Linked DNA regions of Struthio camelus. The protein of the gene in region 4 purifies or fractionates together with the protein of the main gene of each other region. This does not show direct contact. Links are inferred from orthologs where the notes say so. Each region holds a gene or a part of one and is shown on either strand. Other genes may lie near its edges. The genes, in order: ANAPC15, ANAPC13, ANAPC1 and ANAPC4.

Region 1 (7,534 bases), on a different chromosome or scaffold from region 4:
GCTGTCGGGGCGGGGAGGGGGCCCCGTGCTTCAGCAACACCTTTTTGAGCTGCCGACACACGTAACGGGAGAGCTGCGAACCACGAAGGGCAGCGGCGTAATTGCGCCCAGAGGGCTGGGCCACGGGACGAGCGGCTCGCTGGGCCCTGCCCGGGCGCCGGGGCGAGGGGGGGCCGGCGGCGCAGCCGCGGCGCCAGGGCAGAAGCACGTGGAAAGCGCTCGGAGGAGCCGACCGCGGACCCGATCCTGCCCCGGCGCTGCAGGGCTGGGGATCCCGCCGGGCGCCCGGGACCCCAGCGCGGTCCTGGGACAGAGGCAGCGACCGGGGCGTTGGTGAGAGCCCGCAGCGGGGCAGGGCCCCAACCGCGGGAGACCCCGGGGGGGCCGGGCCCGGAGCCACGTCGCCGGCCCGCGGTGGGACCCCTGCGCCCCCATCAGCCAGCCCCGCGCCGCAGGTCTCTGCCCTGCGCTCTGCTCACCCAGCCCCAGCAGCCCCGTCCACGGGGACCTCCTGTCGCCCCCATCCTTGGGACCCCTGTCCACGGGACCCCCATCCCCAGGAGCCCCCGCCAGCCCCGTCCACAGGACCCCCATCCCCAGGGACCCCATCCCGGGAAGCCCCTGTTGGCCCTGTCCCCAGGACCCCCACACCCAGAGTCACTTTGTCCTCAGGGATCCCCCACCGGCCCCATCCCCAGGACCCCCTGTCAGCCCCATCCCCACAACCCAACTATCACCCCCGTCTCCATGACCCCCTGCCAGCCCCGTCCCCACAACTCTCATTTCCACAATCCCCTGCCACCCTGGTCCCCACGACCCCCGTCCCCACGACCCCCTGCCAGGCCCGTCTCCACAACCCTCGTTCCCATGACGCCCCATCAGCCCCGTCCCCATGACCCCTGTCCCCAGCACCCTGTCAGCCCCGTCCCCACAACCCAACTATCAGCTCCATCCCCATGACCCCCGTCCCCACGACCTCCTACCACCGCCGTCCCTCTGACCCCATCAGCGCTCTCCCCACGACTGCCATCCCCACAACTCCCATCCCCACAACTCCCTGCCGACCCGGTCCCCATGACCCCCGTCCCCACAAGCCCCACTGTCAGCCCTGTCACCGTGACCCCCAACCCCACGACCCCCGTTCCCACAACCCCCCTGTCAGCCCCATCCCCACGACCGCCATGCCCATGACCCCCATCCCCAGGAACCCTGTCAGTCCCACCCCCACAACCCCTGTCCCCAAGACCTCCTACCACTCCCGCCCCCACGACCCCGTGTTACCCCCGACCCCCACCAGCCCCGTCCCCACGACCCCCTGCCAATGCTGTCCCCACAACTCCCATCCCCACAACGCCCTGCCAGCCCCATCCCCACAACCCTCGGTCCCACAACCCCCGTCAGCCCTGTCCCCACGACCCTCATCCCCATCACTCCCTGCCACCCCCGTCCCCATGACCCTCCTGTCTGCCCCGTCCCCACGACTCCCGTCCCCACCACCCCCTGCCACTCCTGTTCTCATGACCCCCCCGTCAGCCCTGTCCCCATGACCCTCGTCCCCACCGCTCCCTGCCACCCCCATCCCTCTGTCACCCCTGTCCCCATGACCCCTGTGCCCATGACCCCGCCACCCCTGTGCCCACCACCCCCCTCACCCCTGTCCCCATGGCCCCCAGCCACCCCCATCCCCCTGACCTCCCTGTCCCCCTGACCCCTGTGTCCACGACCACCTGCCACCCCTGTCCCCGCGACCCCCATCCCCAGGACCCCCGTCACTCCTGTCCCCACGGCCCCCAGCCACCCCCATCCCTCTGTCACCCCTGTCCCCATGACCCCTGTGCCCACGACCCCGCCACCCCTGTGCCCACCACCCCCTGCCACCCCTGTCCCCACGACCCCTCTCACCCCTGTCCCCATGGCCCCCAGCCACCCCCATCCCCCTGACCCCCCTGTCCCCATGACCCCTGTGTCCACGACCACCTGCCACCCCTGTCCCCACGACCCCCATCCCCAGGACCCCCGTCACTCCTGTCCCCACGGCCCCCAGCCACCCCCATCCCCCTGTCCCCCCTGTCCCCATGACCCTTGTCCCCATGACCCCCCGCCACCCCTGTCCCCACGACTCCCATCCCCAGGACCCCATCACCCCTGTCCCCACGACCCCCATCCCCACGACCCCCATCTCCACGACCCCCGGCACCCCTGTCCCCACGACCCCCATCCCCACGACCCCCATCACCCCTGTCCCCACGACCCCCATCCCCACGACCCCCATCTCCACGACCCCCGGCACCCCTGTCCCCACGACCCCCATCCCCACGACCCCCATCACCCCTGTCCCCACGACCCCCATCCCCACGACCCCCATTCCCAGGACCCCCCGTCCCCCTGCCACCCCTGTGCCCACGACCCCCATCCCCAGGACCCTCCACCCCCCGCCACCCCTGTCCCCACAACCCCTGTCCCCACGACCCCCATTCCCAGGACCCCCCGTCCCCCTGCCACCCCTGTGCCCACGACCCCCTGCCACCCCTGTCCCCACGACCCCCGTCCCCACGACCCCCCACCCCCCGCCACCCCTCTCCCCACGACCCCTGTCCCCACGACCCCTGTCCCCAGGACCCCCGTCCCCAGGACCCCCCACCCCCCGCCACCCCTGTCCCCTCGACCCCCGTCCCCACGACCCCCCACCCCCCGCCACCCCCGTCCCCAGGACCCCCCCGCCACCCCTGTCCCCAGACCCCCCCCGCCGCCGGTCCCCCGCGGACCAGGCCCCGGCACCCCGCCGTGCGGGGCGGAGGCGCGGCGCGGCGCGGCGCACCCAGGCCTGGTGCTGCTGCTCCTGCTGCTGCAGCTCGGTCTCGTCCACGCAGGGCCGGTCCAGGTTGAACCACAGCGCCTCGGTGACGCGCGGCAGCAGCGACGGGAACAGCGTGGACATGCTGCGGCAGCGGCGGCGGCGGCGGAACCCCCGCGCGGCGGGGAGCGGCGCCGACCCGGAGCCGGAGCCCGACGCGCCGGAAGGGGCGGGGCGGCGCTGCGGCGGGCGCGCGCGCACGGCGCATGCGCGGAGGAGCCCGCGGGCCCGCGCCCACGGACGGAACGCCGGCGACGTCACGCCCGCGGGGAGGGGGGGGGTGAGCGAGGGGCGGGGCCTGAGGGGCGAGGGGCGGGGCCAGCGCGTCACCGACTGATGGTGGTTTTGCCACCCGGGGGGGCTGGGTGGGTGCGTGACCCACGGGGGTCGGCCCCGGGTGGGAGTGGGCGTCTGTGGGGGTTTGTGGGTGGGTGGGTGTGTGACCCACGAGTGATCTGCCCCGAGGGGGAGTGGGTGTCTGTGGGGGGTGGTGGGTGCGTGTGTGACCCACTGGGGATCTGCCCCTCGGGTGTTCGTGTGTGTGCGTGGGTGGGTGTGTGATGCATTGCGGATCTGCCCCCGGGTGGGAATGGGTGTCTGTGGGGGCTTGTGGGTGGGTTGGAGTGTGACCCACTGGAGATCTGCCCCCGGGTGGGTGTGGGTGGGCGTGGGGTTTGGTGGGTGTGGGTGTGTGGCCCCACGGGGATGTGCGCTGGGGTGGGAGTGGGTGTTTGTGGGTGGCTGGATGACCCACTGGGGATCTGTCCCTGGGTAGGGCAGGTGTCTGTGGGGGTTTGTGGGTGGGTGTGTGACCCAAGGGGATCTATCTCTTGTGGGTTTGTTTTTGTGCGTGGGTGTGTGCTTGTGCGTGGGTGGCCTATTGGGGATCTGCACCTGAGTGGGAGTGGGTTTCTGTGGGGTTATGTGGGTGGGTGGGTGACCCATGGGGATCAACCCCACGGGTGTGTAGGGGAAGTGTTTGTGGGTGTAGGGGAAGTGTTTGTGGGTGGGTGACCCATGGAGGATCTGGCCCACGGGTGTGCACGTGGGGAGGTGTTTGTGGGTGTATGGGTGGGTGACCCACAGCCCCACAGGTGTGGGGTGTTGTAGGTGGGTGGGTGACCCACGTTGTATCTGCCCCTGGGTGGGAGTTGGTGACCCACGAGGATCTGCCCACGTATGAGTGTGGGGGATGTGTGGCTCTGGGTGACCCACTGGGAACCAGCTCCACGGGTGTTTGTGGATTTGGGTGTGGGTGGGTGTGGGTGTGGATGGGTGACCCACAAGGGACCTGCCCCCGGATGGTTGTGGGTGGATGTATGGGTGTGGGTAACCCACGGGGGAGCAGCCCCTCAGGTGTGGGGGTGGGTGGGTGTGACCCACGGACGATCTGCCCCGGGTATGTGCAGGTGTGGGGGTGGGTGACCCACGGGAGACATGCCCCTAGGTGTGTGTTTGGGCATGGGTGTGGGTGACCCACCAGGGATCTGCCCCTGGGTTTGGGTGGGTGTGGGTACGGATGGCTGCATGGCCCATGGAGAAGCTCCCACCGTGTGGGTGTGGCTGTGGATGACCCACGGGAGATCTGCTCCACAGTCCTGTGGGGGGTGTGGCTGTGGTGACCCAGGAGGGATCTACCCCGGGTGTGTGTCTGCAGATGGGGTGGGTGACTCACGGGGGATCTGAACCCTGGGTGTGGATGGGTGCCTGGGTGGGTGACCCACGGGGGATCTGCCTCTGGGTGGGTGTGGGAGCCCCATGGAGGAACTGAACCCTGGGTGTGTGTGTGTCTGTGTGGGTATGGGTGCCCCACGGGGGACCTCCCCCGTGTGTGGGGGGGGGGTGGGTGCGTGGGTGATCCACAGGGTATCTGTCCCCCCATGTGTGTGTCTGTGTGTGCGCGTGGGTGTGCAGGTGGGTGACCCACGAGGATCTGAACCCTGGGGGTGGGTGTTGGTGACCCACGGGGGACCTGGCCCCGGGTGTGGGTGGGTGCCTGGCTGGGTGACCCACGGGGGACCTGGCCGCGGGTGGGTGTGGGTGCCCCGGGGGGGATCGCTCCCCCATGTGTGTGTGGGTGTGTGTCAGTGACCCACGGGGTGCCTTGCCACGGGTGGGTGTGGGTGCCCCAGGGGGGATCGCTCCCCCATGTGTGTGTGGGTGTGTGTCAGTGACCCACGGGGTGCCTTGCCACGGGTGGGTGTGGGTGCCCCACGGGGGATCGTTCCCCCCAGGTGTGCTTGTGGCTGTCGGTGACCCACGGGGTGGGTGGGTGCCTGGCTGGGTGCCCCACGGGGGATTGTTCCCCCATGGGTGTGTGGGTGTGCGTGTGGGTGACCCACGGGGGATATCCCGTGGGACGGGACGGGGCGGGGGGGGGGTGCGCTGAGCCCTGGGCGCCCGCTGACCTTTGAGTCGAGCCGGGGCGGTTGTGCGCGCACCACCGCCGCCACCCCGGGCACCGGTCCACGGGCCGGCTGTGCGCGCCTCGGCCCCGTCCGGCTGTGCGCGCTCCCTCCGGCTGTTGTGGGCAGCGGGGGCCGGCGCTGCTGCGCAGGGAGATGGCTGCTGCGCGGGACCTGCTGCTGCTGCTGCTGCTGCTGCCGCTGCTGCCGCTGCTGCTGCTGCTGCTGCTGCCGGTGCCGGTGGTGGCGGCGGTGGCGGTGCCGGCGGCCGGCCGCGCGCTGCCGCTCAACGTGTGCATGGACGCCAAGCACCACAAGACGGAGCCCGGCCCCGAGGGGCAGCTCTACGGGCAGGTGGGGGGCGAGGGGCGCCCGGGGGTCACCGCCGCGGTGGTGAGACCCCCGCACCCACCGCCTGTCCCCCCCCACCCCGCTCCGGCAGTGCGCGCCCTGGCGGGACAACGCCTGCTGCACGGCCAACACCAGCGCGGCCGCCCACCAGGACCGCTCGCCCCTCTACAACTTCAACTGGGACCACTGCGGCGCCATGCCGGCCCGCTGCAAGCGCCACTTCGTGCAGGACGCCTGTCTCTACGAGTGTTCGCCCAACCTGGGGCCCTGGATCGACCAGGTAGGGTGGGCGCCCCCCCCCCCGCCCCCCGCCGGTGGGCACGGTGCCGCTGCTGGCACCGGTGGCCCGCGGCGCCTGGCACGGGGGTGAGGTGCCCACGTGGTGCGGGGCTGACGCGCCCGGCGCTGCAGCGCGGCGAGGGGGCAGGGGGGTGGGGGGAGGTGGCCCTGGGCGCCCCGGGGTGGCTCCTGTGGGCACAGCATGCTGGGAGCCACCGCAGCACCCACCCCACACCCCCCCGGCGCGGGTGGCCCACGGGACCTGGCACGGGGCCGTGCACTGCGCAGGGGTGACATGTTGCAAGAGTGCAGGGGGTGGAGGTGGCGCTGGGCACCCCGGGGTGGCAGGGTGCACCGGGTGCCACCGCAGCACCCACCCCACACCCCCCCGGCATGGGTGGCCCACGGGACCTGGCACGGGGCCATGCACGGTGCAGGGGTGGCACGTTGCAAGGGTGCAGGGGGGGGTGGCAGTGGGCACCCCGGGGTGGCAGGGTGCACCGGGAGCCACCGCAGCACCCACCCCACACCCCCCAGCCCGGGTGGCCCACGGGACCTGGCACGGGGCCGTGCACGGCGCAGGGGTGGCACGTTGCAAGGGTGCGGGGGGGGTGGCAGTGGGCACCCCGGGGTGGCAGGGTGCACCGGGAGCCACCGCAGCACCCACCCCACACCCCCCAGCCCGGGTGGCCCACGGGACCTGGCACGGGGCCGTGCACGGCGCAGGGGTGGCACGTTGCAAGGGTGCAGGGGGGGGTGGCAGTGGGCACCCCGGGGTGGCAGGGTGCACCGGGTGCCACCGCAGCACCCACCCCACACCCCCCAGCCCGGGTGGCCCACGGGACCTGGCACGGGGCCGTGCACGACGCAGGGGTGACATGTTGCAAGAGTGCAGGGGGTGGAGGTGGCGCTGGGCACCCCGGGGTGGCAGGGTGCACCGGGAGCCACCGCAGCACCCACCCCACACCCCCCCGGCATGGGTGGCCCATGGGACCTGGCATGGGGCCATGCACGGCGCAGGGGTGGCACATTGCAAGGGTGCGGGGGGGGTGGCAGTGGGCACCCCGGGGTGGCAGGGTGCACCGGGAGCCACCGCAGCACCCACCCCACACCCCCCCGGCACGGGTGGCCCACGGGACCTGGCACGGGGCCGTGCACTGCGCAGGGGTGACATGTTGCAAGAGTGCAGGGGGTGGAGGTGGCGCTGGGCACCCCGGGGTGGCAGGGTGCACCGGGAGCCACCGCAGCACCCACCCCACACCCCCCAGCCCGGGTGGCCCACGGGACCTGGCACGGGGCTGTGCACGGTGCAGGGGTGGCACGTTGCAAGGGTGCGGGGGGGGTGGCACTGAGCACCCAGGGGTGGCTCCTGTGGGCACAACATGCTGGGAGCCACCGCAGCACCCACCCCACAACCCCCCAGCCCGGGTGGCCCACGGGACCTGGCACGGGGCCGTGCACGGCGCAGGGGTGGCACGTTGCAAGGGTGCAGGGGGGGGTGGCAGTGGGCACCCCGGGGTGGCAGGGTGCACCGGGAGCCACCGCAGCACCCACCCCACACCCCCCGGCACGGGTGGCCCATGGGACCTGGCACGGGGCCGTGCACTGCGCAGGGGTGACATGTTGCAAGAGTGCAGGGGGGGGG
Region 2 (6,968 bases), on a different chromosome or scaffold from region 4:
TGCATATGCAGTACTTTGCACTCTAAGCAAATCAGCTTGGGAAGAAATTCATACAATTTTTAAGTATTCATCTAATTCTCTAATGCAATACCTCACAAGTGGCACGTTCATATCACTGAGCAGAGACCTAACTTTGGCAACGACCAGTGAGGAATACTTTATAAATCCTAGCCAAAACAAGTAAGCTACACACTTTAAGCACAGGGATTTTTTTCCTTTTAACCATAGACACATAACAAGCACCTACAAATACTTATCCCTTTGCCTTGGTGCTATGCATTATCTAAGCAAAAGGGAACAGGTTTAATCCATGTTTTCTATTCTTCGCAATTGCTCTCGAGGCAGAGACATTTTATACCAAGTTTCAGTCACCAGAGAAATCTTACAGCCAAGCTATCAGCTCCTGAAAATAGAAGTTTATCACAAATGCAAACAAACCCCTAAGTAGAGGGGGTTGGATGACAACATGATAATGAAGAATAAAACACTTGCAATCCTTTGGGGACAGCATGCTCCCTAGTGACTGCAGAATTTCTAATTTGGTGCAGTAATTATTGGAGCCAATTCAGCAAACTCCTCTAAAACTTCACAGGCTGCTAAGCCAGGGACAACATTCAGGCCTGCAAGATACAGCCCGAGAAGGCAGTGAACCCTATGATGATCTTTACCCCTTTAATTTGCCTGTCAAACGGAAAGCACTCAGAAGAAATGGAAATCAATAGGTTAACGGATCTAAATTTCTCTGTTCCCCCAGAGCATATGCACACTTCACAACTTGACAGTTGTTTTAACAGGGAAAGAAGTAGTTCTTAAAGGAGCCCAAATCATTTCAATTTGAAGTTCACCCTGTCCTGCAAGTTAACAAAAAATTAGCAGCTATTATGCAGAGCAAGAACATTTCCTTCTCAGCAACTGCTAATATAAAGCTCAGTCTAAGCTTGATTTCTGCAACCAGTTATTTGTAGAACAAATATATGGTATCAGTAAACTTGGGTCAAACTCTCAAAGACAACTATGAAAACAGCATCAGTAACTTTTGCTTCACGCTTGTTTAACAAATAAAATGATGCCCCCCCCCACCCCCATTACTGGCACTACAGTCTCTCTGGGATCCAGATACTTTCACCCAAGACAGAGCATAAAGGATTCTTCAGAGATGAACGGTGCTCTGCAGCGCCAGCACGCTCAAGAAACAATCAAACGTTTCCAATAAAAACAGGTAGCAAAGGCAGGTCTCATTAACCTAATAGGGCTCTTAAAAAGATATTTATTCACTTTTAATTACTACCGCTCCTGGTGCTAGATGGTAAGAAGGGTTTTAAAAACAAAAGGAGGTAAAGTTTTTAGGGAAGATGAAACACAGAAATAGTAACAAGACCACGATATCAGAGAGCAGTGATTACTGGGAAGCCAGCTCACCAAGTGACTTTGCTTGTTTTGGTTGAAGGCCACTGTGCACAGCAGGCACAAGGAGACACAGAGCAAAGACCTTATTTGAAAAATGGAAGATTTGCCTGACTGGTAAGACAGCATTTGGTTCTAAATAAAAGGGGAGTTAGTCTGACAGACGGGTGTATTCTGTTGCATACATACCTTCCCTGCCCATGTCTTTGCATTCCTTCCAGCAAAGCCTCCATCACCAAATCCTGGCGGCGTTAGCAGCTAGGAAAGTAAACAAAAACAGAGGTCACCGGAGGCTATATATCAGCAAGTCTACTTCTCCAGCCAACTGCAGAGCATGCAGCAGAAGTCCACAGAAAAGAAATTTAAAGATTACATAATAAGCAGCTGGTGCACAATTACAGGTGAGGAGAACAGTGGTCACCTTCGTGAATTTATAAGCCAGATATCTGCCAAACAAAGGAAAACAGATTTTTCTACAAAAACCAAACACACACACAAGCATTCAGCTCCATGAATTTAGGGTGATACAGCAGTATTCTCTAATGAACAGAACAACTCAAACAGCCGTAGTGGCTGGCTCAATACACAGGAACTGGCAGATCTCCCGTCTTTTGGGTATACTGAACTGCAGAGGAAGAGCCACACTCGGGAACTTGCAGATGGACCAGGCCCAAGAGGCATCTCTGACAGGGGTATTTGTTGCTTGAGAGAAAAACCCAAGCACCTTGTAAGCAAGCAGTGGTGAGGAAAAACAAAAAAATCTATCCATAAATTAGGTCTCGCTTAAACAGAAGACAAAGCTCATTACTGCTTTCAGGACACATTGCTACTTAGTATGGTCAAGAGGACTTTTCCTTCAATATAGCGCTGGTTTTTTAAAAATTCCTCTGGTGCCTTAAGCTACGAAAATAAGTTGCATGGGTTTACAGTAGCAGTGCACGACCGTTAAGTCATGAACACATGTATGTGTGCACAGATAGAAGTTCCACACACTTGTAAAGCAAGAAAGGTTTACCTTAATAGCAAAAAAAAGGAGAGTAAAAACTGAAAGTTACACTGGAACCAGAGCCACAAAGCTGACATTTTATTTCAGTAGGTTGTCCACGAAACAGCGTCCCTTCTGGTTAACTCACAAAAAAATACACTTCACTTTGCTATTTGGAGGTGTTCATACAATCTTCTGTTACCAAAGCATCCATCCACTCTCCCAAGTATTTAGAGAGGGATCTTCACAACATGATTCCTTAAAAATAATTATGGCATTATTATGCAGTCAACAGGAGGGGCACAGCGGGTCACACAAAGTGAGATTTTCAGAAAGGCGCAGACTTGGCTTTGGTCTCTTTTTAACTTAAGTGAGAGCTTCCATCCTGCTCCTAGCACGTTTTAAAAGCCCATCCAGAAATCAAAGCCTGCCCTTGGAGTTCAGGTACGTTTTCTACCACACTTATTCAGAAAATAAACATTTCCTGGAGCCAAAAAAAAAAAAAAAAAACCAACCCTGACCCTACACTGATACAGCGTTTTGTCTCTCTTCAGTTCTGTCCACGCGTGACAGAATTAAGCCAGGACGCGGAGCCTCTCGGTTGTGTTGCTGACGACAGAGCTGCTGCTGAGAGCCGAGGAGCCGTTCCAGGTGGCCACAGCGGACCATAACCAGCAGCAGCTCTTCTGTTTTATGCCAATCACACCCACACAGAATTGGTTTCCAAGGGGTAGCGGGGAGATTTCTTCCGTCCACTGCGGAGAACTTCTAAAATTCAAAAAGGAGACGTGGAGAACGAGCCAGGCCCTTTATCAGCCGCTCGCCTCATGAGAGCCTGGACTAAGCTCACCGCTACAAGGCTTCAGTGCCCTGAGAAGCCAGGCAGCACCGGCTCCTGCTTGCGGCGGGCTCTAAGAACGGCAGCCCGGGCCGCAGCCGGCGGCGCCTCCCGGGTGAGCAGCCTCAGGACGGCGCCCCTCCGCTCAACGGGTGCAGGGCACGGGCCACTCACGGGACGCACCCGCGTACACCCTGCGCTTAACCTCTAACTCCAGCCCAAGCAACCGGCCCTGACCTGTCACTCTTGAGATTTAAGGAGGAGCAAGTACTTGCGACAAAGAGAAGAAAAAGAAGACTTAATAAAACTTCTTTTGCATCCCACCTTAAGAAAGAAGCACAGCAACGGAAGAGAGGCAAGGGGGAGAAAACTGACGATACACGGAAGGCCCCGAAAATACAGCTTGCGAGAGAAGAACAGGATTGTTTAGCATTAAATATATATATATACACGGGGGGGGGTGCAGTTTTGAAGGGTTTAAAAGGCTGCTGGGCGTGGGTTAGCAGGCCCTACGCCGCAGCAAGAGGGATGAGACGTTAAGGAAAGCCTCCTAACCGTGCCGCATCAGCTCGCCCCGGGCCGCAAGCGCCGTCCGCGGCTGTCCTAAAGGCGAGAGCAAGGGCGGCCGTTAGCGGCCGTTGGCGCCGCGCGCCGGCCGAGTCCTCCCCCCTCCCCGCCCCTCGGCGCGCCCGCAATGACGTGACGCCGCTCGGGGGCGGAGCGCGAGCCCTGCGCGTGCGCCCGGGGGGGGGGGGGCCGCGCCTGCGCACTGGCTGGGCGGAGGCCGGCTGCCCGGCATGGGCGCGGTAGGGCGCGCGGCGCCGGGGAAGGGAGGGGGGCGGCGGCGGCGCGCGGCGCGGCCCTGCCCTGCCCGGCGGCTCCGGCCCTCTCCGGACACGTTCTGCCGTGAAACCAGCGCCGGCAGCCGGGGGCGGCCGCCGGCCCGCGGGAGCCGCGCAGGGACGAGCTGCCGCGATGACGTTTCCCGGGGAGGGGGAGGGGGCGCGGGCAGAGCCCTAATAAACCATCACCCGCGGCCCCGGCAGCAGCTGAGGGTGGAGGACGGTTCTTGTGTTTGTCGTGTGTTACTAATCCCCCGGATCTGGGTTTTTGGCAGCATTTCGTGCGGCGTTAAACGCTTGGTTCTGGCTCCTTCGCAGGCGCGGCAAAGGCCCGCGGCTGAGTTATGGCAGCAGAGCTGGCGCCGCAAGGCAACCGGCAGCCAGCGAGAAGCAATGCTTTCGTGCTGAGTTAGAGGGCCCTGGGGAACCGCAGCTCTCAAGGCCACCCACCAGCTACTTCTAAAGGTTAGTAACTAGGCGCTCCCCCTGAAAGCCGCTATAATTCATCATTATAGGCTACTTTTACAGATTTCTTCACCTCTGATGCTTATCAACCTGCACTTCAATTTGACGCCGTTATTTGCAGACGAAGTAGTTGCGCTGCGGTTATAACCCCTTTTTGAGTGCTTTAGGAAAACCAAGCTTCCCCATATGATTTGAAGCTTGATAATAACTGGATCACAGCTGGAGCAGCCGTGCGGTCTAAACGTGAGCCGCTTGGGAGCGTGGATGCTAGAACAGCATCTGCTTCGTGTCACAGATTCAGCTGTACTTGCCTACCACAGAGATGGACAGCGAAGTGCAAAGGGACGGCAGAATCTTGGATTTGATTGACGATGCATGGAGGGAAGATAAATTGCCGTATGAGGACGTGGCCATCCCATTGGTAGGTGAATCGCTGCTTATCAATCTGAGTTAAGATTGGCGTGTTTCTCACAACCCCTGCCAAGACACGGCAGATAGTATTGCTTGCGGTGCCGCTAAGTATCCTCTGCGGTGCCAGAGGTTCCCAGGATGGATATGACTTAACTCTGTTCTCTCCCATATGCTCGTCATTCCTGTGTGCAGACAAGGGCATGGATGTTTCTCTCCCTCTACCCCTGGGCAGTTGCCCTATCTCTTTGGAACTGGACTGCCCTTCCCATCGCACAGTTCTGGGTTAGACACCAGGGTCTACCTGTTTTCAAAGTTGTTGCCCAGCCACTTTGCGGAACAGAGAGGATCAGTCTTATGCTGACAGCTGAATAGTCCTGATTACAGTTTATTTCCACCTTCTGAAATTCCATTAGAAGAAGCTGAAAAATTATCAAATGTCTTCCTAATTGGACTTCTCCAAATACATTGTTGCTGTTGCTAGTTCCAGGATAGTAGTGAACACACCAGCATCTGCAGTAAGATTCCTGCTGGTAGTGCTTCATCCGGTATATGGCAGCTAGCCCTCCTTCCAGTAAACAGGTCATTGTACAGCTACTAAGCCAGAGAGGTGCAGCTGGGGAAAAGCTGCCTCTGATCCCAAAAATATCCAAGTTAGAGCCTCAGATCTCCCTCGCTGACCCTCTTCCTTAGCCATTTGGGGACTACCAGTGAATTGAGAGGCATTTGAGGATCTTCCCTCTCCTTGTTCACTCTGGTACGTAAGCTTTACCCTGGCTAGCACTGACACAGCAGGCACACTAAAATCACAGGGATTTCACATGATCCTGAATTAACACATGAAAGTGCTTCCTGCGCTGCTTTGGCTAGTTTTGGCTACTAGTTTCTTTTAGCAAAGAGACACTTGCAGACTAGCAGTAACTTCAGCTCAGCAAGCGAATATTGTTCAAGTGTCAGCCTTTAAATCACGATATGCCAACATTCCTGGAGAAGATGCAGCTCAGGTTTTGCCAAGTCCCTTCTCAGAGCAGTGATGAGACCACACAGGAGTTGGTTTCTCACCATGTCCTTTTCTCCTTCTGGTCTTGTAGACACAAGCTGCATGCTTCAGTCTGCACAGTTGTGTGAGAAGGTTACTAGGGAGATGAATCCCTCTGACCATCCATTGCCCTCCCTGGTTTGTCAGCTGCTCAGACCGCAGGTAGAAATGCAGCTGGGGCACCTGCTCGATGTAGCTGTCTGGCTACGTTGCATCCATCGCTGTGGACCCCTGGGCCCCTGCTGCGATCTAGTCAGAGTGAGGTGCACAGCACTGTCTCTGATTTCAGAGAGGGCAAGGAGTAGCCGCGCACCTTCACGCTCCGCATATAAAGCACACAAGTTTTCCTGCCCTGATTTGGCCTTGAGGAAATGATCTTGCAGAACTACGATTCTCAGACACAAGAACCTAGATTTCCTTGACTTGAAGGCACATATAGATGGAAGCTTCATCAATTAGCCTGGCTGTGGATATAAAGATTCCCAGGGATGGGATTGGCTCTGGTCACAAAGAGAAACCAGCACAAATTCACAAGAGAGTTACTCAGCGGAGTTGTGAAAAAGCCAAGAGAATGGTTGTAAAGTCATATTTGAGCTGTCCTGAGCATCTGATCCAGTGCTTGCTGGAGAGGGCTCCTGAACTCTAAAGGGCTTGAATCATATGCCATTTTCAAAATTGAAGTATTTTATTTAGCTCATGCTGGGATTTCGAGAAATCTAGAACTCAAAATTATTGCCCAAATGATATCTTGCAGAATAACACGCCCGCTGTGTGACTGCACCAGTACAGGCACACACAGAATAAATAACATAAAGAAGGAACGTTAAATCTCAGTGAAACCATACTTCCTCCTTACTGTCTCCTGAGCAGTTCTGTGTTGCATCTCGTAAGGGTTCCTGACTTCCCCTGTTGATACAGCACAGACATACCTGACTTCAGTGCACAGAGGAAGGATTTCTCACCTGCAATGGGACAATAGTATGTTAC
Region 3 (7,991 bases), on a different chromosome or scaffold from region 4:
ACCCACTGGAATGAAGAATTCATGCAGTCACCGACAGCAGTGCTTCATGTACGCCTCCCCACCCCAACACCCTGAACAACCAGATAAACGGACTTTGTTTGGGACCAAAAAAAAGATAAAGCACATACCTGAAAAGGTAAAGCAGCAATGTAATCCTTTCCCTCTATGCTATGCACATTTATACACGAGTTCTGCAATATGCAGATACATTTCTCTACTATTTCATCGCTACCTGAAACTGGGAGAAAACACAGAGTGAAGTTTTTCTATTTCCTTAGATTTCTATGCATAAAATATAAAGCTTTTCTGGAGAGGACAAGGAGTTCTTAACATAGTAGTTCTTGATGGCTAAACTTCACATGCCAAACAAACTAAACTCTGCTTGGCATTAAAATAAAGATAAAACTTACCTTCAGGTTTTTCAGATTTTTCCTGGGGTATAGTGAAGTCACACCATAAGGCCTAAAGCCAAATACAATACAATTATTTCTGAAGAACAACCTGATGTTACCACTGAATTCAATCTTTCTATATTTCATAAAACAAACCCACCTTAGAACCCTGAAGCACCTTTTGAAAACAGTCAGCAGGTATCCTTTAGCTAACATGCATTCAATCAATTGCTACCTTTCCACATTTTCCTACCTGTAGAACAGGGCTGTCAACAGTGAAAGCCTTATAAACAGTAGATGCTTGGTTTTTACTTCCTTTGCTCCAGATGACCATATTGCTGGCCACGTACAGCTCTTCATCATAGTCCACTTCTTCCCCAACAGCGCTGACACCTTTTCTCAACTGCCAACTTTCCTGAAAACCAAGAGTTATTGATTGAATCTTGCAACTTTTCCTGTAACAGGAAGATAACTTAATAAGCAGTGCGATTGTAGCTGGTGATAATTTCTCAATGACCATTTTTAAGTAATCGTTCAACTTGATTTGCTCAACTTATTTAAAAAGTAAAGACTTTTGGAAGCTAATGAAAAGCAGAATAAGCATTGGTTTGCACTTCTGATGTTTTCCCCTGCCTCCTCCCTTATTTTTTGAATAAAAAAAAAAAAAAAGGGTCCCAGTTAAAACCAGAAGGAAGTAATCTGATGTAGTGGGACAGATGAAGAATAAAAAGAAGTCTTTATCAGCAAGCGCTGTGCCTGCTGCTCGCACTCTGCCTCCAGCACTGAATCCAGGGAACACCCTTCAGGAACATCCTGCTTCGCTGTTGTCGGCACATACAATGGATTCAGCGCACCAGCTAGCAGCCTGTTGTTTCTGAATAGAACAGGACCAACTGCAAGCATCACCCGATGGGGTCAGGCCGATGGTCCATCTACCCATCATCTCCAACAGCATCAACAGGAAACGGTGCTTAGGGAAAGCGCCTGAGCCTGGCCCCTTCCTGCGCTCTATTCCAACACTCTCCGTAACCACCGGATTAGCGGGCTCACCCTCTGCTTGGTCTCTTCAATGTCTGTTTACGGGCCTGCTGTCTAATCCACTCCTGAGCTGGACGGCACTGTCCGCCACCACAAATCTCCATGGCGGCTAGTTCCGCAAGCCCTCTCTTTTTTTTTTCTTTTTTTGCGTAAAGAAGTAGTTTCTATTATGTGTTTTAAACCGATTTCTCACTAATTTCAGCCAGTTCTGTCACCATCAGTTCTGTCGCGCAGTTCAGGGAGCGGCGGCTCTACCTTCACCTCCGCCATCACCTCCGTCCTTCTGTAAGCCTTCACCCGAATCCCTCCTCCCTGTTCCCCCCCCCGCTACGAGGCGTCACGGTCTTTCTCGCCTCTCCTCTTGGGACCCTCTCCCAGCAACTCCGCGCTCCCGAGAGGGGCACGGGCACGCCGAGCCCGCGCGGGACGGGCTGCGTGGAGGCTGTACGCTCTCGCTGTGGATGACACCCAACGCTTCACTCGTTTTTTTATTGTTGGCGGTGGTGGGTTTCTTTTTAAGAGCCGGTGCTGCTTTGAAGAGCCCTCAACGGCGGCTCAAGGCCCCCTCCGCTCGCGCATGGAGGAGAAGCCCGCCGCCGAGGCTGCGGGAAGCAGAGGGACGTTATGCAGCCCGCTTCGCCCCGAAGCCCCCCACCACCACGACCACCCCCCTTCCTTCCTTCTCCGGGTTGCGCTTCTGCCCCGACAGGGCGCCCACCCGCCCGCCCGGCGCGCAGCCCACGCTACCCTGCGCCTCTCGTGGATGGAGACCTCTCGCAGGGAGCCCACCAGGCCGGCGGCGCCGTCCGAGGCCCAGAGCTCCGAGGCCGGCTGCAGGCGCCGCAGCTGCAGGCTCAGGGCGCTGGGGTGGCGCTGGCAGTGCTGGCGGCCCGAAGGGGCGAACTCCTGCAAATCGCCCGCCGCAATCATCGTCGCCCTCTCGTCACACTTGTCCGACATGGGGGCCCGATATCAACATTATTTCTGCGAACGGAGACACCAGGCGCCGCGTTAAGGCTCGCCCTTCTTCCTCCCACCCCGCGTCTCGCCCCCTCTCCCTTCCCCTCCCGGGGGCGCACGGACCTGCGTGACACAGGAAACGCGCGGCAGGGGCGAGGCCAAGCGCCGGCAGCTCTTTCCCGCGGTGGCGGCTGCTTCTTCTCCTCCTCCTCCTCCTCCTCCTCACACGGGCGCGGCCATCTTAGCGCTCCCACAACCCCCCTCGGCGGGGCGCGGCGCCATGACAACGCCGAGGGGGCCGGGAGGGAAATGGCGGGCGGGGGAGACCGTGCCGATGCCCTAGGGCCGCAGGCCGCTGCGTCTGTTAAAAACCTGAGTGAAAACCGGCCTCAGAGCCTCAGGCGCAGCCGCCGCGCAGGGCAGCGGGCAGTGTAGGGCTGAGCGGTTAAACGGTAGCTGACGAGTAGCCCGGGGAGGGGAAGCCCTGGCGGTCTGTGGCTGTCCGGTCAGCTCTCTCTGCCTTCCCCTCTCCGGGGGCGAGCAGGGCTCCTTCTCGGCGCGGCGCCTTTGGCTGCCTGAGGCTGCTCAGGGTCGCAGCCGCCTTTGGCTGCGGTGTTGCAGGCCTGCGCTGGCGCTCGGAAGGGCGCTGTCACTGAAGTAGCCTGCTTCTTTCTAGATGCTCTTCGCGCTCGTTGTTTATCCCGCCGTATGAATTCATCGTGGATTAAACGGAGAGCACTGGATCCTGTTGTTAAAGTTTCTTGAGGGTTTCCTCTTGGCGTTTGAGGTCCCTTGGCGTATGAGGCCGCCGATGGGACTCGCTGCCGAGCTCTTAGCTAGTCAGTGCCGGGCCCCAGAGATTGCTCTGTGGCTCCGAGGCAGGGACCGTGTTGTGCACGCGCGAGGCCCAGGGTGGGCGAAGGTGCTTTTCTCTCAGGCGCAAGAGTCTTTCCCCCAGCAACAGGGAAGAGAAAACACCTGAAGAATAGATAAACTGCTTCACGTTGGCTGAGACCCTAGATGACTTTTCATGCTTTCTTGAAGAAACTAAGCAGCCATGACATGAAAGGGAAGGTCATCTCATGGATACGTGATTGGCTGTGGCACAGGAAACAAAGGATAGGCGCAAATGGGTGTTTCACAGGGGGGAGAGGTTTCCTGACTCTGAACAGGAACCGATTAACTGTTGGCATTGTGTTGGGTCAAGATCAGCTCTACTGATGGATACCAGGAGTACGTGTAAACCCTACCCTGTAAACAGGGCAGCTGCTTCCCAAAGATGGGAGGCATGGCACTTAAAAAAGAAAATGCAACGTACCTTAGACATATACAGAGGACTGGCAGGGCCTCCCAGCCCCTTGCTACCCTGCAGTCATCAACAGGCATGTTGTACAATCCCCTTCACAAATGTTAGATGCTCATGTGATATGGATTAGCATAACTCCTCGGAAGTCTGAGCTCCACTGACTCACACCAGCTACAAATCCACCCCCTTACACATCTGTGGTCAGTATATGGGGTGACTAGTCTCATCTTGAATGCAAAAGGTGTTGCATCATCCATAGGCGTTCCTGAACGAGTGCAGAGACAGCCTGTGACTTCTGTAAAGGCTAAGGCTGAGGATGCTGAAACCTTCTCAGCTGCATCTCTGTCTACAGAGCACTAGGTGTCAGGCAGTTAGCATGGCTTTTCACACGGGAACAGCCAGATTTTCCCATGCTCCAAAGGAAGGGTGTGTTGACATGCATTTGTATATAACCAAATGTCACCTGTGTGGAATTAGGCCATTTGGGCTTCCAAAACCTGCTTGCTCTTCTGCCTTGGTTGCTGTGTCACAGCACAGCACGCAGAAATAGTTCTCTGGGATTTGGCATGTACTCAGCTGCCAAATCTAGCAGGAAAGTCAGATTATTTGTATTCCATTAAAAATAAGTTACACCTATGAGGTCACCACCATGCTGTTAGTCTGCCCATCTTGTTGGCACTGTAACATGTACAGAGAGCCATCTGGACCATGCAGACATGTCCACAGTAAGCAAGCTTAGCCTGTGGCATTTGCAATCATCTATACATTGTAATGTGAGCTCCTTTCTTTAACTCTCACATTTATAATTGCACACCTAAACAAGAGGGTGTTGCTGACTACATTGCTCTTATACAATCTTTCCCCATTCATACATGGGTATACTTTCCCCATTCATATCAAAGTAGCATAGCAGAGAATGCTTTTTTTTTCTTAGCACATGTATGAAGTGCAAAAGGAGCTGAAAGGAAGACTGAGGGAGATACAGTCACTTATTTCTTTTTCCATTATAGACTCATAGGAGTTGCATTTGTTTAACAGACAATAATCAAAGGAGAAAGAACAAAATGTGTAAGAAATACCCTGACAGGAACTGGAGGGATTGTGCATTCTGACACACGCAATTTTTTTCAAGATATCAGTTTCACATGAGAAATCAAAAGCAGGAGAAGCTGAGGAGGCATTGAAAGCATATTTGAGACCACAGGTCAAACAAGTGGTTTTGAGAACAACGCCTGACAATAATCATAATCATTTTCTCAGAACCGAGAAGAAGCCTGCTGGGGAAAACCAGATTGAGCAGAAGTGGTAAGAGTTCACCAACCTGCAGAGCGCTTTCAAATCGTATCACAACTTCTGGTAGGAAGACAGCCAAAAGAAATGGTAGCCTGGATCTACAGAGCAAAGGACCAAATTTCCACATATAGACAGATGGAGGTGTTTGCACCAGTGGAACTGTGAAATGCAAACAGCAACTTTGTGGGCAAGAAAGAACACACAGGGCTGAAAACTAAGAACGTTTTAGCCAGCGTCCAGCCTTTGGAGATGGCTTTGGCAAAACTATCTGCAGACCAGGAGAATTTATCTTAGGAAGAAACAACTGAGACAAGGGACAGAATGTGCCTAGTAAGAGGTGCAGCATGCACAGTGTGCCCAAAGAAAGCAGAAAAAAAAAAGGGAGTATTTTCCTAGCAGCCAAAAACATTTAGTTTTCTCTGTGCAAATTGTTGGAGAGCTGTGTCCTGTGAAGGATATAACATTTAACTCAAATGAGACATCGACCTTGAACTAAAAACATATCACTAAAACAGTTTGCTATTTAAAAGAACAGGAGCCCCTGCAAATATTATTTTTACACACATATAAATATATACAAAGAGGAAGCAGGAAAAAGGGAAAGAAGAAATTTAACAAAAGGAAAATGAAAATACAGAAATAGCAAGTGGTTGCATTTCTGCTAAACAATCTGATTTTGTACACATTACGTTAAGCCCGAAGTTTCTGAATGGTCTTGTGAAGAAATGTTGTCAATGCCGTGAAATGAAATTGCAAAAAACCTGAAGGATCACATCCTGGCACCGCTACATTCCCAGGCACCTGTGAAAGCTCATCTAATGCTTACTGAGATGCTGCTTAAGAGAAAGCTGAGAATACCTGTGGAACTGTTGATGTTACCAAATGGGGATTGTAACTTCTCGTAAAGCAGCAGAAGGCCTATGATGATAAAGATCTGCACCTTTGCACCCACAAACAGGAGTCTGCGTGTATGTGTGTTTGTTTCTGTGCATATGTACACAAACGCAATAGCAAATTAGGTCTCAAAGGACACTGGCCCCTTTTCAGCGGGAAGTCTTGAACACGCCATGCAGATACCACAATCTTTGTGCTGGAGAGCCACCGGATGAAACAGGGACTCAAACAGGGACTGCTGATGTCTGTGCAAAGGTATGGGCACCCTCCCCTTCTTCTTTGGAGACCTCACTCACCAGTGTGGTTTGTGCTATATATCACCTGGAAAGCTGCAAGCACAACTAGTTTAGCTGGTTCAGGATCATATCCTGGCAGGCAAACAGACAAGTCAGTCAGCTTTTATTTTCCTCTCTTAAGGTCTGTTCTCTGAGGAGTAAAGATTCTCCCTTTATTCCAGTCCTTTTCCTTTGACATCGGTTGATTTTTTTCCTCTTCCACTTCCCAGGAAGGACTGTGAAGTATTCTTCAGGGCCAAATGTTGGCTGATGCCCAGCCCTAAAAGGAAAGACCACTGGAGACAGTGGGAACAGGAGATGCTATTCGGGAAGATCTTGTGAGTCTGGCCACACAGGTGCTTTGGGACCAAAAACACTCCTCATCTGAGTGCAGCTTCCCGGCAAATGTTGAGTTTGGGCTCTAGAGCATGGAAATACTTCATCTTCTCTGAGAAAAGGCCACCAAGTCTGACACAATTCATTGTCCAGAGCTTGGAAACAACCTGAGAAAACCAAAATCATTCTGAAGAAACGTATAAAGTACATGTGCTGGTACGTTTCAGCACTAATTGTTGGAATCTGGCAAGACTTTAAGTGATGGAAAGTATCAAGGCAGCCCAGACGGGGTTACTGATGCTGAGCCTATATTTTGTATGCCCTTAAAATGACAAGGAAGGAAATGAAACTATTGTCAGCACGAAACTCTCAGTGGGAAATGAATAAATTCATGAATTTATCTATGCATGAAGTTAGACAGAAATGTCAGGAATTTGACAGCCAAGCGTTCTTTTGGAAGGAGAGATCTTTCCACGTTCACTGTGGTAGAGGTGGAAGACTAATATTGCCATCCTTTGGCAATATGCTGGGAGAAAATGGAGGTTGTGTGTCACCAACCCCAAAAGCAGGCAAAGTGGTCAGACTCGCTCCCAGGGCAGCTCGTGCTGGCTGGTTCCTTACCTTTCATATCGTGATCTCGGCATGAGACTTTTTCTTATGGTCCCCGTTTCCTCCTCCCCCTCCACGCACTAGTATCTTTTTCATGTCGAGCCGTGCCCAAACGAACTGAAACAAACCCTACTGAGCTGCACACACCAGCTCCAGACACCAATTTACACCAGCACTGACAGAAACTAACCTTCTGTAAATAAGTGACCCATATTAAAGGATTTTAAAGAGCTGTTAAAATCCTCTTTACGTGCCCGTAAACACGTGCCTGTGTTTTCCTTGTTTATTTTTTTTCTCCCTCCTCTTTTCTTTCATAAAAATGGTCCTGCTTCTTCTCCCTAATTCAAATATATGTTAGTGGGGTCAATTACATGATGTGGTCCCTATGTGAGGAGATTTCCCCCCCCCCCCCCATAGCACACAAAAGCCCATCCACTGCTTTGTTCTCAAATAACACAAAGCCAGCAGCAGTGGGAAACATAGCCGGATGAAAGAGCACCCACAAAATACAGAGTTAACCACAAATGACAGGCTCATATTGTGATTTCCAAGAGCCAGCCTGGAAAGATGGAGGGACAAATTCATGTTCCCCAGTCTCCTCCTTACTCTTGAATGACACTGAATGCATGGGGAATTCGCTCAAAATCTGGAGACGTGGTGACACTGCTGAACTTGCAAGGAAGGCACTAGCTCTTCAGCACCGTGGAAGATGTTTAGTCTTCTTGCAGCAGCTCTAATACATTTTTCTTCTCCCCTTTAATGTGGGCCTCCAGTGACACGTGCCCTTTCTTAGCTGCTGATCACTTCAAGATGTTCGAGGCTGGTCTGCAGTGAAAGAGGCAGTGAAGGGGAAATTCAATCTCTGTCACCAGGGCCTGAGAATATGCA
Region 4 (7,542 bases):
AAAATGCTAGACTGATTTAAGATGCATTTATTTTCTTACCACGTTTAGATTTGTACTTTAAGGAGGAGAGAATTCCCAAGTGAGGCCCCCTCCCTTTTTCTAATAAATTTTTAATTATGGTCTTGCACTGCAACGAGGTACATATCAGATGGTTTTGTGAGATCACAGAAACAGGGACCACAGTGCCCGCGAGCTCACAAGTGCTACTGAGAACTGCGTAATGACACACGCTCACAGTCACTAGGAGCGCTGTGACATCCTGAAGCAACTGTACCCATCATAGAACCGCCAATGGATTAGGATGTAAGAACAAAGGCAAAACGTGAAAGGAGCAAGCACCCTACCAAAGCACCGAAAACACTAATGAAGATTTAAATATAATGCTCTCCCCGATTAACAAAGCAGATGAATATAACAACATTATTACAATTAGTTTAATAAATTAACACATTAGTGGGTATCAAAGTAAACTGGATCAGGAGGCAGGCTGTACAACAATACATCAAGTTACCACTGGATTAAGCAAGCTCTTAACAGGTGGATGCTCAACGTCTTACTGAAATATTTCTGGCATAAACTAAAAGAACCACAAGACTAAGACTTCAGCACTACAAATAAGCACATTAAGAAGTATATTCTAATAAAAAGGGAAAATTTTAACAAAGTGGTGAGGAAAAAGACAGCATTCTTTTATTTAGCCACTTGTAACACACTAACTGTAAATTATTAGTAAGATAGTACTGCACAGCCTATGTTTATGTGCAGAGTTTTTCAGACCTACCTGCTTTCTTCGGTTACTTCCATCCAATGCATGTAAGTAATAGAAGAGTCCACTGCAAAGGAGTGTAAGCTTTCAGGTTTTTCTACATCACACAGAATAATCCGCTTGGTATCAGTTAGGCCAAAAGCCAAAACTAGAGAAGAAAACGTAAAATATATAAATAACCAACATGCAAAACTTTGTATTTTCTTTATGCGGGACTAGAAAACAGTGTTCCTTCAAAGCCTACTACTGGACATCTAGTTGTCTCCTTGTCTTTTATCTACTGTGCTTCCAAACTCTAACTTGAAACCTACTCACTGGCACTTCTAGCATACTAGCACTCCTAGGTTTGAACTCCTAGCATATTTTTAAGTAACATATTTAGGTCAAAAGTCTGATCCTACAATTATTTATCTGCATGCTGAACTGAAGTACACACTTCTAACTACAGGGCCTCAGTTTTTGCAAATTTAAGGCTGAAATACATTTAAAGACCATTCAACAGCAGTTTTGGTTTTATTATAACAAAGTAAAATTGTAGACTTGCTGAACAACATTTGCATCGCTACCTTTTTTACCTCTATTTATCTATAAAAACATACGGCAGGCATACGTTACTGCATCCACTTCCTTGTAATCACAGGCAACTAGCTTAAAAAAAAGTTTCTTAAATTCCAACGTAAAACTAAACAGGTAGTACTTGCTCATGTCTTATCAGAATATTGTTCCCATTCTCACTCTTCCAATGGGTCCAAAAAAAAATCAAACTACTTTCCAACATATACTTATTAAGCTACTAATTTCAATGTTATCTCCATCTGTAAGACATTACTGTCTTGACAGACCTTATTCTACCAAGGAAAGAGGTTTTTTTACCTTCTCTGGCATAATATTAGAGAGCAATTTTCACCTCTAAAATTTAGCCTTTGACTAAAGAAGCCAGGCTCTTCAGTCTGTCCTGATTTGTCTCTATTCTCCCAATGAATTTTGTAGTACACGTGAAAATATTCTGCTTAGTTATGAACTGGAAGCTTTGATATACCTTGGGAAGTAATATTATTGGACATAAATTCACTTTGCCAATCTTTCTTGCAATTGCCTTCAGCAGTGTATCCTTCCTTATAGCTTTGAATAAACCTACATAAAATTAAGCTACCCTTTTCTTCAAATACAGTTTACTTGAAAATTTCCTTCAGAGACAAGAGGTATCATCACCACAACTTGCACTGATTTCCAACAGGATTTTTATTGCAACATGTCACCTCATATACTTCACATTACTTTTGCCATCCGGTCTCCAAGCAAGTGCAGTCACTTCTTTTCCTGTATTTTCATTTGGAGGCAAACTCCAAACTCGTTGGAAGTTTGCAAGCCGATGAAGTAAAACCTGAAAAGCAAACACATGAAGGATTAAAAAAAAAAAAATTATTCCCCCGTTAATTGTAGCTTGTAAATCAAATCAAGATGAAAATTTTTACTTTTCTTTAATAAGTCCTACATCTCAAGTGGTGTCGTCTTCTCTAGCAGAGGAGTCACTCCTAGGTCATTTTACAGGACGCTGCTCGCAAGGCAGCAACAGAGAGACAAACTGTGCCCTCTACAGACCTAGAAGCCTGCAGCCAACACAGGTTCTCTCTCCTTCTCCAACACCACGTCTCCACCCCTGAACACAACCACCACTTCCAGGAAAAAAAACACTGCAAAACTGATGTAACTGAAAAAGGGGCCCTTTAAAACTGCACAGATGCAGGCACTGAGAGTCTCACTGCTGAACGCGCCTGGCAATTTGAACAAGGCAACGAATAACAAGCAATAAGCAGCTCGACGAACATTTTTTGTTATTGGTAATTCTTGCAAGCTTGGCCAAACGCTTATGTCACGGGTAAGGGAAGCAGCGCCTGCACACGACCACGCAAAGGCGGCAGCGCTTCCCCTCGCTGCTCAGGCCCTCCCGCCTGCCGCCGCGCAGGCCCCAGGCGGCCGCCCCGGCCCCGGCCCCGGCCCCGGCCCCGGCCCCGGCCGCCGCCGCTCACCTCCCCCGCCCTGTTGGCCAGGGCGATGAGGTCCCGCTTGGGAGACCAGGCCATGAAGACGACCTCCTGCGGCAGCTGCTTCTCCCCGACCTGCCGGAAGGCCGGCATGGCGGCGGGGCGCTGCCGGCCCCTTCCCCTCTCCTCTCCGAGCGCCCCGGCCCCGCCGCCCGCCGGCCGCCCGCCTGCCGCCCTCCGCTGCCGCCTTCCGGAGGCGGCGCTTGCCCGGCGGCCGGCGGGCGGGCAGCGCGGGCCGCCTCGGCGCTTCCTGCTCTGCCCCCGCCGGCCGCGGCAAGGCCGGCCCTTCCTGTCTCGTCTTCCGCTAGTGCCCGCGTATCCGCCGCAATCTGACGATGGGGGTTCGTTTTTAGCATAGCTCCCGTCGCTACTGCAGCAGCGCCGATCTCAAAAATATTAAAACTCATGATTTTTTAAATCCAAATCGTTAAACTACTTTAAAAATACCACGAAGCATACTTGCTTAGTAAGCAGAACAAAAAGACCTGCGCCTGAAGTACTTTCAGCGTCCTTCCTCAGGCTTCTCCCCCTGCAAGCATCTGGAGAGAAGAACTGGAAACCAGCACGGTACTCTGAGCAGAGGGGAACGAAGTGCGAGAAGGAGCCTTAAGAATTTGTGCCTTTCCATCACCCATCCTCGCTTACCCCCTTGCCCCAAATTCCCCCGTACCTCCCACAAAGCCACAGCATTCACTCACTACCTAGTAGCCAGTTTAGCCTTCCTGACCTCTCCCCGCTGCTCCCCTTTTGACTTCAGATTCCAGCTAAATCAGGCAATAGCTAATCCTTGCCACACGACATTGTCACACTAAGCAAATACATAGTAAGAGAGTGGTTTATATTGCATTTTTGTCAGTAATGATGTATAACATAAAAGGACTGTCGCTTTGAGTTCAATCAGGTTTTATTTTGAATATTAATATTAACACGGTCAGAATATGGAATCAAAGCAGGCTATAAAAAAAATTTTGGGTCACTTTGTATCAACAAGGAAGGCTGGGCCTCTTCTTCTTCTTCTTTATTCTTTTCCTGGCGAATATTGCATGTTTCACAGCTGATCTTTTACAGATCCCCATCTTTACCTTCTTTGGAGTCTTCTGCCTTTTCTTTTTGTCAGTTCTGTAAAGCAAGAAAGAAATGCGCAGATTAAAGCAGACAACATACACCTGCATTTGCTCGTGATATAAATAAGCTGTCCATATAAGCATATGGACTGAGAAGTACTGTCACAAAAAGTACAAGGGACATTCCATTTTACAGTAAATTTATGACGCAAGTGGATTGGTTTTGGTCTCTGACAAAGGACGTATTTCATGACACAAAACACTGTATAATTTTAAATATAAATAAAACATTTACAGATGTTTTACCTAGAAAAAGAAATCTAAGTAATTTTCTGGAATAAGAATAAATTAGCAAAGGAACTAACCGATGGCCTGAAAGGACTAAACCATCACAACACAAAATATGCCTAACTGAAGAAACAGATAAGGTTTCACTATTTTCTTATAACGTCCTTTTTACTTTTTTTAAATAAAGAACTGTTAAGGGAAGGATTTTTCAAAAGGAGAGTTGTAAATATCTTATCTATTCATCTATCTCATTACATTTTAGCTCTACTACTCTATAACCAGAACTCAGAGTAATGTCATAGCAGGACATGAAGCAATGCACCTGTAGACCAGTACCACCTAGCAAGTACCCAGTGAACCTCCTGAAGCTGATCCAATAGTTCTGAATCCCTCACTATGCAATAGAGATACGTCTTTTGGGAGTCAAAACTTACTTCTACTGCTCCATCCATTCAAGTTAAGAATTACAAACAAACCAATACGCTCTGGAGAGGAAGTTAGAAAAGTACTAATACAAATACTTAACATGTCCTTCATTAATAAGCTCTTACAGGTTGGAGATTTAGACCCTACCACAGAGAGCACCTGAGGTACCAGACGGAACAGTAAAAGACACTAAAATAAGCAAAACAGGAATCAAGAAAAAACAAAGTAGTGACTGCAGTCTCTGCCCTTTGGTGAGGAATTTGAAGGAGCTAAAAAAGTTTCATTACTTCAGATTAATTTTGAATCTTCTTGACAGAGGTATCTCCTATGCACCATTCACCAAGTGTTGAATCTAGACAAACCCTTACAGTTAAGGAATTAGGACACATAGTAAGTGACCTGCCTAAATCATGCTGCTTTTTATCGTATGCTCCTCCAGTTGACATATTTCACACAGAGCCTCTGCAACAATACAGCAAACAGATAACAGTGAAAGCTGGTATCAGCATACAAAGCCTAAAATTCTCTCTTCCTATAACCATTTTCATGAAGTAAGAATTACCTCCCATCTCTGAAAGCCATCTTTATAATGGCTTCATTAATATAATTATTAATGCAATATCAAACTTACTGGCAAGCTGTTTTAGTGAGGGAGAGCCTGGGACAGGAATTGCGCTTGTGACCTGCTTTGCCGCAAACGAAACAACCAGCTTCAGTCCTCTCACAAGCATGGTCTTGAAGAGCACAGCAATTGCAATTACTACAGTGAAACCAAGCTGTAAAATACGTAACAGGATTTATGAACTTGAAAAATGATCATTTTGAAACCAAGCTTTAAATAACTTTTAACACTTACCTATGTGTTTATAAAATTCCCATTAAACACCACAAATCAAAATAAGCAAGCTGTTCCGTAAGAAATATACGTGGAATTTACTACTGGCCTTGAATTTAGGTGGCCGTGACTTAACAGGAGTTTATCACATTTCCACATAGCGGAAACCTACCCAATCAAGTTATTTGCTGGCAATTCATATAAAACTGAGATTTTTTTCCCTTTATTCTCTGTCTTTTGAATGATTAAGCTTTATTTCTTCTATAGCATATTTTCTGATTTGTCATCTCAGTTTCTTTGGATGAGAGCTTAAACAGTAAGCATACTTTTCCTTAGAAGAGTATTTTTCTGCACTTACACGGTTTGACACATTTGTTGCAAAGAGCACAATGCTTCCATCGTCTACCATCCTATAAATAAGAGAATGAATAAATGCATTGTTTTTTCTTAAAAAAAATCCAAACAAATAAAAACATTGATTGTGTCTTAAAACTGAGCTCATGACATATGTTCCCATTTATTTTCAGAAACAGCATATACATTGTGGGCAGCGCGAAAACAAAAATCCTGAGAATCTGTGACAACCACAGCAGAACGGCTACATTTTGAAGTTAGCAAGTTCTTCAACTTCCCAAACATAAGAAGAAAGGTATATGTTAAAATAAAGTAAAAAAAAAAAAAAAATCCACACACAATGAATAAGGTATATCACAAGGGGCAAGTAACAAACTTTTACAGTCCTCCTCCTAACCCAGAGGTGTCAGGAAACAGGAATTAATTCCCAGGGAGTTGTGAACGATGTCCTATGAAGTTAATAAAAAGATGCCTGAATGGAACTGCTTAGGGTTTTCCAGTGAAATCAATACCAGAATAGCTTTTTACCAGGGCAAAAATTACAGAAGTTATACGACTACTGCTAAAATTGCCATCCAGAAAGAAGTCAAAGTACTTACTTTTGATGTACATGAATTGCATATCTCACAGTGCTGGTTACCAGAGCTAACATATCGCTGACAGATAGCACATAACCTGGAAAAAATGAAGTTACAAACATATTGGTCCAGGATTTGCTCAAGAAACTACACGAATGAGTTTTATATAAGCTCCACAGTAGAAGTAAGGATCGCAAAAATCACTTTGCTAAGTTTAAGATACTTTTTTTGAGTCATACAACAACCACTTCATACAACCAGAGCCTCATAATCATTTAAACACCTTAAGTACAAAACAGTAAAATTCAGGTGCTCAAATTCAAATTAGCAATATACGTTATCAGCAGCAAATCAAACAGGAAAAAAAAAGAAAAAAAAAAAAAGAGCTATTTGAGTTCCATCAGTAAAATTCCCCTGCCCCAAAACTTCTTTTAGTCTTTATGTTCTGAACTACTGTCTCAACCAAGCTGATTATCAGGGATAGCAGTAAATCTCTGTCTCCCACAGGCACGCACATTTCCTATGGGCTAGCTGAGGAATCTCTTCATTCCACACTAATTAATGTAAAACCCTTTTTTCAGGTGTCCAACTCTCCTATACCTTGTTTATAAAATACAGGAGCTTAGCCTGAGACAGCAGAAATTGCTATTGAGCCTAGCATTGAAAAGTTAGGCAATCTCAATACTGAACGTCACCATCCCAAAATCATGTTGAGCCTTTATGCCCCAATTAAAAACACACTCGCACATTCACTTGAGTGTAAAGACATCTTACCTATAACCCTCTTCGACAGGAAGTACAATCGTACTTGGGCTGATGTTGGTGAAGATACGAACAGGGGACTGTCTACGACCTGTCTTGCCATGTTTATAAAGTGCATGATTATCATAATCTACCTAGAAAATAAGAAAACAAAATTTCTACCTAGAAAGCAACCTTGAGTCTTAAATTCAATGCTAAGCATGGACACAACTTTTTCATATTTACTCTCTTTATAGATGTTTTATGAAATTCTCATTTTTTTTTATATAAAAGACTAACTCTTAGAGTACAAATTTTAAAGCAAGGGTTCAGTCCGATGTATTTTTAAATTTGTGCAATCATAATAGCAGGCTAGACTCCAGAAATCAAGCTCGCAACACTACAGTTACCATATTTTACTTTTCCCTTTTTACTCTTTTGCACT

What was found.
Region 1: the proteins of ANAPC4 (region 4) and ANAPC15 purify together in Homo sapiens (affinity purification with mass spectrometry; 10 studies listed by BioGRID and IntAct, with this or other methods). This does not show direct contact. The link is inferred for Struthio camelus from reciprocal best matches to the Homo sapiens genes ANAPC4 and ANAPC15.
Region 2: the proteins of ANAPC4 (region 4) and ANAPC13 purify together in Homo sapiens (affinity purification with mass spectrometry; 9 studies listed by BioGRID and IntAct, counting the BioPlex papers as one, with this or other methods). This does not show direct contact. The link is inferred for Struthio camelus from reciprocal best matches to the Homo sapiens genes ANAPC4 and ANAPC13.
Region 3: the proteins of ANAPC4 (region 4) and ANAPC1 purify together in Homo sapiens (co-purification; 13 studies listed by BioGRID and IntAct, with this or other methods). This does not show direct contact. The link is inferred for Struthio camelus from reciprocal best matches to the Homo sapiens genes ANAPC4 and ANAPC1.

Annotation. Positions count from the first base shown.
Region 1 is NC_090942.1:224,054,771-224,062,304, reverse strand, and holds the start of ANAPC15 (anaphase-promoting complex subunit 15), read right to left. Parts: upstream 3,013-7,534; 5' UTR 2,939-3,012; coding exon 2,819-2,938; intron 1-2,818. Other genes in the region: folate receptor gamma-like, read left to right, coding at 5,416-5,613, 5,702-5,890. UniProt on the Homo sapiens protein: Component of the anaphase promoting complex/cyclosome (APC/C), a cell cycle-regulated E3 ubiquitin ligase that controls progression through mitosis and the G1 phase of the cell cycle.
Region 2 is NC_090950.1:5,129,458-5,136,425, forward strand, and holds the start of ANAPC13 (anaphase-promoting complex subunit 13), read left to right. Parts: upstream 1-3,958; 5' UTR 3,959-4,033; intron 4,034-4,344; 5' UTR 4,345-4,534; intron 4,535-4,731; exon of another isoform or gene 4,732-4,854; 5' UTR 4,855-4,856; coding exon 4,857-4,955; intron 4,956-6,968. Other genes in the region: CEP63 (centrosomal protein of 63 kDa), read right to left, coding at 1,594-1,637. UniProt on the Homo sapiens protein: Component of the anaphase promoting complex/cyclosome (APC/C), a cell cycle-regulated E3 ubiquitin ligase that controls progression through mitosis and the G1 phase of the cell cycle.
Region 3 is NC_090944.1:139,057,283-139,065,273, forward strand, and holds the start of ANAPC1 (anaphase-promoting complex subunit 1), read right to left. Parts: upstream 3,002-7,991; 5' UTR 2,514-3,001; intron 2,415-2,513; 5' UTR 2,391-2,414; coding exon 2,178-2,390; intron 808-2,177; coding exon 646-807; intron 463-645; coding exon 411-462; intron 239-410; coding exon 129-238; intron 1-128. UniProt on the Homo sapiens protein: Component of the anaphase promoting complex/cyclosome (APC/C), a cell cycle-regulated E3 ubiquitin ligase that controls progression through mitosis and the G1 phase of the cell cycle.
Region 4 is NC_090945.1:67,043,235-67,050,776, forward strand, and holds the start of ANAPC4 (anaphase-promoting complex subunit 4), read right to left. Parts: upstream 3,002-7,542; 5' UTR 2,905-3,001; coding exon 2,797-2,904; intron 2,151-2,796; coding exon 2,045-2,150; exon of another isoform or gene 2,026-2,044; intron 915-2,025; coding exon 782-914; intron 1-781. Other genes in the region: rRNA N6-adenosine-methyltransferase ZCCHC4, read right to left, coding at 3,795-3,930, 5,221-5,365, 5,783-5,834, 6,378-6,453, 7,131-7,252. UniProt on the Homo sapiens protein: Component of the anaphase promoting complex/cyclosome (APC/C), a cell cycle-regulated E3 ubiquitin ligase that controls progression through mitosis and the G1 phase of the cell cycle.